2 separate regions of the Mus musculus genome follow, and region 2 is reported to be linked to region 1. Evidence: microRNA targets listed by miRTarBase, many of them from high-throughput screens and not tested one by one. Region 1 holds a microRNA gene; the other region holds the end of a gene's coding sequence.

What was found. The annotated mature microRNA mmu-miR-384-5p reads UGUAAACAAUUCCUAGGCAAUGU and lies in region 1 at 1,117-1,139, shown strand. An mRNA with a match to its seed (bases 2 to 7 or 8) in the 3' UTR can be bound and repressed. Matches are read on the target gene's strand: a 7mer-m8 pairs with bases 2 to 8, a 7mer-A1 pairs with bases 2 to 7 and ends in A, and an 8mer does both.
Region 2: miRTarBase lists Ints12 as a target of mmu-miR-384-5p. Seed matches in the 3' UTR shown: 7mer-A1 at 1,682-1,688.

The regions. Positions count from the first base shown.
Region 1 is chrX:105,342,319-105,345,470 of GRCm38, reverse strand. It overlaps Mir384 (microRNA 384), which reads left to right and starts at 1,102; the gene lies at 1,102-1,189.
Region 2 is chr3:133,108,899-133,111,898 of GRCm38, forward strand. Ints12 (integrator complex subunit 12) reads left to right here. Exons shown (of 7, transcript NM_027927.4): 7 at 1-2,090. The coding sequence ends at 521. Among named protein-coding and RNA genes, the nearest start is that of Ints12, 19 kb to the left of the region's middle.

The sequences.
Region 1 (3,152 bases):
GTCGTGGTATCTATTTTATTATGTTGGAGATATGACCCCAGGAACTTGTATATGCTAGGCAAGTACTCTATTACAGAACAATATCCCAAGATATATCTGTAATAACTCTTTAGTGAACTTTATCCATCTATCCATACATCCATCATCACCTCCCCTACAACCATCCATTTACCATTCAACAGATATTGTTAAGCAATGACAACATCCAAAACATGGCTATAGGTGCTAGGAATAAGGCAGTGAACTGCTGTCATGAAGCTTACAGTCTAGCTGCCTCATCTGGACAAACACAGTGTATCATGAAAGTTCACTGGAAAAGTTTAGTCTAGATTTTTGAAACAAATGTTAGCCAGTACTTTTCAAAAACTGGACATGACTTTAGGGTGCTTGGGTGGAGAATGAAAGACTGTCTCGCATCCAGCCTAAGTAAAGGTTCTCGGGGTGGCCTGGGACAGGGCTTTAGGAACAATGTGGCTGGATTTTTGATTTCTTTGATGAACCTGGTTGAATCAAATTGTGTAGTTACTATGCTGTATAGCTAAGTTTTAAAATGTGATAAGAAAACAATGTGATTTTGTTACTGTCTCACTCATAAACTGGCTCGGAAGGCAGTTAGTTCTCAAAGCAGCATTTTAAAACTATTCTGAACAATGGCAACATCAGAACACATTTTCAGGGGGACTGCTTCAGACAGTTCAGTACATATCTTGAGTGTACAGATCCTAATCTATTTAAAAATAAAAATAGCTAGTAGGCAATTTGTTCAAAAATAGTGCAAAGAAAGAAATGTAGACTTACATATTTTAATTCATTTTTGAAATATTTATGCATTATATGTTTGGATTTGTGATTGCTGTAAAATTAATTCACTTTAAAAATAATGAAAGGAATTTTCCTTGGCATTTTTCTTCAGTCAGTTGATGCATTGTCTTCTGCATGTGACTCTTCAACGTGAACAGCCCAGCTACTTAGCCATTGTCTAAGTTTTATGTAAAAGTCAATCTTCCCATTACATGGCAGGCCTGCAGAAATGCTGCCTTCTGCTTTGAAGCCAGTGTATGATCAAATTTAAGTTAACTGGTTATTTCTCTTGCAGCGGAATGTTAAATCAGGAATTGTAAACAATTCCTAGGCAATGTGTATAATGTTGGTAAGTCATTCCTAGAAATTGTTCACAATGCCTGTAACATATATTCAGCTAGCAAGATTCCTGAAATACATAGGAAGCCTTCAAGAAGCTAACTGTACATTCCTAGAACATCTCTGGATCATGACATTTGTTTTTGTAATCAATTCTACTTATTTATTTGTTAATGTGTCTAGGTGTTAATAATTCTGATAATAGCACTACTACTTGATTTCCATAGTTCCCAAGGGTATCTGCATTATTTGATAGTACTTTGGTGATGCAGGGTTTTAGACATGCTAATTTTAAGAGGCATTAGAAATAAAAAAATCAATAATTAGGAGCAAAGGCAATTGTACTTCTTAGGTGAGCCAAAGCCCTAAACTTTCTTACTCCTTTACAAAAGCTTTAACTAAAGCTTCATTGCCTTTCTCCAACCTCACTTCCAAACAAATTTTGATATTCTAATTCCATAAGTCATGGGAAAGAAACAATAATATCTATCAACCTTACTGTCATGATTTTTTACCTTACCCTGTTCACTTATATGTTAATATGTTGATGTTTGCATAGTCATTATTTAATATGTATACTTGATTACTATTTATAGTTATCTATTTTCATTTACTATTTTGAAATGATCTGCCTACTGGTTTATATCAGCATAGCTGTGGGTTGTATCTTTTCTTAAATCAATTTAGAAATGAAAACAAAATGTTGAATGAGTTTTGAATGAGTTTTGGCCTTGAGTGTTATGATCATATCAAGCCACTGGTTGGGTTTCTTTGCATGTAGACAGTTAAGTGGATTCCCTTGACTTCTATTTGACTAGTGGAAATGGACCATCCTGGCAGCCCACTCAGATGAAGCCAAGAAATGAGCTGGCTATGCGGGCTTTGGATCAAGAAATATCAAAAGTATGGACAAAGTCTTTTGACAATTGATTTCAGCATCTGTACTGGTATACATTGGCTGATATAGTAATATACAGCTGAGCAATATTTTAAATGGTCCTCAGTTTGGTTAGATGATGACACTCAACCCCAGTCTCATCCCTACTGTATTCAGACATGACCCATTTCCCAAGGCCCAACGCATTTCTGTCTGTCAAAGTCCATCTAGTTGTTTTGGTCCTCTCTGGTGTATCTTCTTTTAATGCTTCTATTCACTTAAGTCCATTTTGCCTTTCAAACTGAATTGCAATGATCTATGTACTGTGTAATTTTCAAGAATGCCTTACACTTATGGTGACCATATTTTCTAACCAAAAATTAGAATATATCTTCTGAAAATTTAGGTAGGCTATTTGAAATTAGCTGTCCTTGGGAAAACATATGCTTATTCACTTCAGTGTCTCCTACCCATTGAACAGTCAGCATTGGGTATGACAATAGGAAGATAAAGACTGTAGATAACATTCACTAAGTTGCAAGTAAAAGGAATGGATGTTTTTGGAGTGTCTTGTATAGGCAGGCATAGCTTAAGTGCTTTGTTACTGTGCCTTAGGAATAACATATTGGTCCAGAAAATAAAAATAATAGAAGAAATGAAGAGGGACAACAAAAATACCCATAGTGGGAGACATAGTGGAAGGATTGTATCATACAATGCAGCAGGTAAGGGAAGTCTAAAAAGAGGAGGCCTTGTCAGAAAGACAAATACAGAAGTTCTTTGCTATATTTCTTAAAGGTATGATTAGACAGATTTTTCAACATCTCTGTGTACTGCTGATCTTTTTACCTTTACTCCTCAGATTCTGCCAATGCTTGGATTACAGGAGATGCTCCACCCCCACAAGTACAAGTGTGGGTTTAACAGCTTCGAGTAGAATATAAACACTGGCTCACTACTGAACATTATGTTATTGTTCAGGCAACCCAACTTTACATTTTGAAGGTTTTGTGTTTCATCTTGAACTCAGAATGAAAGACCTGGACCTTCATCTTCACAGTCCTTGATGTTTCATAGGGAATCTCTCCAGTCATGCTGCTATACTCTTTGAACCATACATGAGGTTTGATATGTA
Region 2 (3,000 bases), not on the chromosome of region 1:
TAACTGGATGGGCAGCTTTTGCAGCCAAAACTTCTTCAGCTGGTCCATCAACAGCAAAATTGAATTCAGCAGCACAAAACAGTAGTGGAAAACCTGCTGCCTCATCCTCTAACCAGAAGCCTGTGGGTTTGACTGGTCTGGCAACATCATCCAAAGGTGGAATAGGTTCCAAAATAGGTTCTGGTAACAGCACTAGCCCCTCTGTCCCGTTGAAACCGCTTCCACCACTAACCTTAGGCAAGACTGGCCTGAGTCGCTCAGTGAGTTGTGATAACGTCAGCAAAGTGGGTCTTCCTAGTCCTAGTAGTTTAGTTCCTGGAGGCAGCAGCCAATTGAGTGGGAATGGAAATAGTGCTACAACGGGGCCCAGTGGAAGTACCACCAGCAAAGCCACATCAGAGACCAGCAGCAGTACCTCAGCATCTCTTAAAGGTCCAACTTCTCAAGAATCACAGCTCAACGCAATGAAGCGATTACAGATGGTCAAGAAGAAAGCTGCCCAAAAGAAACTCAAGAAGTAATATGGCCAGATAGATTTTTATATCATATTACTCTAAAACTTAAAAAACAAAACAAAACAAACAAAATAAAACCCTTACTGGGACAAAAGTTGTAATGTACTGTACCTTAATAAAAATCTTGATCAAATCTCTATTGTTTGTTACATTAAAATGCTAATATTATTTAGCCAAACTTGGATCTATTTATTTCAGTCTGTTTAGCATTTTTAATTTCCATAGTGTGTGAAAATAGTGATTATAATGACTGATGCATGACAAGAGCTTCAAGAAATTGATGGCGCATACAGATGAAAAGAAATGGCTCACCTGGTACCTTATGGGTGGCAGGGACAACTCAATAGAAAGTGTTCCAGCGTTTTATAAAATCTGAAATGTTCAGTGTCAGTCATTGTCCTCATGTCAGCTAGTATCTCTCTCCAATTACCTCCTCTTTTATCAAAATTAATTTTGAAAGTGATTTCCCATAGCTCCCTATCATGTCTTTAGCTCTCAACCACCCCTTATCAATTACTTAGGGCGTTATTTATTCCAGTAGATTATGAATGCTCATACAGTATACTTTCTCACGTTGCCCACTTTCCGTACCTGGCCAGTGTGTGGATATGTGCAGATATGTACATTTAATAAATGCTGACTTGGCTCATCCTGGTTGCACATTCTGAGAATCATTGAGAAGAGTATCCATTTCCAAGAGGCTTGGCAGATGGGCATTTATGACTAGTTTGCACCCAGCTTCTTCCTCATGGTGAAAGGACAAGCTGTTTTTAATACTTCAAGAACGTTTGGTGTGGTTTATCTTTGTATGAAAGAGGCTCCTACCTAATGATTAGTCCTTGAGGTTTCTGTCAGAACGTGCTCATATGCTTTGAATATTGTTAGGATATGGTTTGTCTTAAGGTTTTATGTGTTAGGAAGCATAATCCCCAATATGGCAATGGAGTTGGTGGTTGACAGGTGGAGCCTGTTGGGGGAAGAGTATGCCCTTGGGAAGGATTAATTAGTCCTCATATGTCCACTGACTAATTCTGGCCAAGAGTGGAGTTATAAAAGGCTATCCCAGAATTGACCCTTGGGCAAAATCTCCTCTGAACTCTTGCCGTGATGTGATCCTATATACATGGTCCAAGCCATTGTCTTGTAAGCTAATGAATTACCCATTAGTTTACATATATATATGTATATATGTACATACCCCAACAGAGAATACTTTCTGTATCTGACCAGTAAATGTATTATAGAAAAATAGCTTCCTTTCTTTTTTATAATCAATGAATACCTCATTATTTCCCAAAAATGAATCTTGTGATTTCCTATATTCATTGAGTCAAATTGCTTTAAATCTAATCTCAGTGTATCTTTATCCCTAGATGTTCTAACATCATTATTCTAAAAATAAATTGATAATCATTGTAAAAGAGAAAACTTTTAAATTAAGCTTGGTCTTTTTCTATGGAAGTATTTTAAACTGTTAAATAATGGCGTTAAATTGTTCATAATAAATTAGAAACCAATATTGAAATAAACTCAAAATTTAGAGATGGAATAAATATCTATTTATATACTTAAAAATGTGCCTGTAGATGTTTTTGTTTTGTGAATCACCTTTCTGTTCATTAACACTGGTTTGGTATAAACTCCATATCCCCTTTATAAAGAGTTCAAAACAGTTTGTTTATACTTCAAATGCAATTTTGACTTAACAAAATGACCTGACACAAGTTTATATCAACAGCTATTACAGTTATTGAAATTCACTTCCTTGAAGACATTAGAGAAATAATGCTTAGTACAGTTTACATATTAGCTTTGAAGTAAAAAAATTTTAGTCTCATTACAGAAAGTGTGCTGGATCTGAGAGAAGCAATTATTTTTGATATTTGTGGCACTAGTTGGAAATTTTAATGAGTTTAGGAAGTAATTTATCTTTCAGTGAATAGGATTCTTTGTATAGGTAATTTGTGTGCGTGTGTGTGTGTGTGTAGTAAGGGCCTAAATTTGGTATTTTTAAGGTATATATTTGATATTATAAATTATTATAAATTAACTAGCTCATAGGCCTTTATTTTTTTCCTCATCAAGTATACTACAAGAAGCAGTTATGAAAGTAGCAATAGTATGGGTTTTTTTTTTTTTTTTTTTGGTTATGTATAACAAGGATTTCTAACACTTGAGTTATATGAGGGGTAGAGAGCTTGTTTTGTCTTGAATAGCATTGGAATCTCCAGCTCTCCAGTGAATGAGTGAACAAGTGAGAAGGTGTCTTAGTTTTCTCTTCTGTTGTGATAAAATACTCTGACAAAAGCAACCTAAAAGAGAAAGGGTTTATTTGGGCTTACAGCTCTCAAGGGACAGAATCCATCATGATGGTGAAAGCAGGGCACCAGACCATGAGGCCAGTTGATGAGTTTGTCTCAGCTTTCAGGAAACAAGACATAGAGCAGGGTATAAAACCTCAAAGCCCTCCCCCCAACCCCCAAGT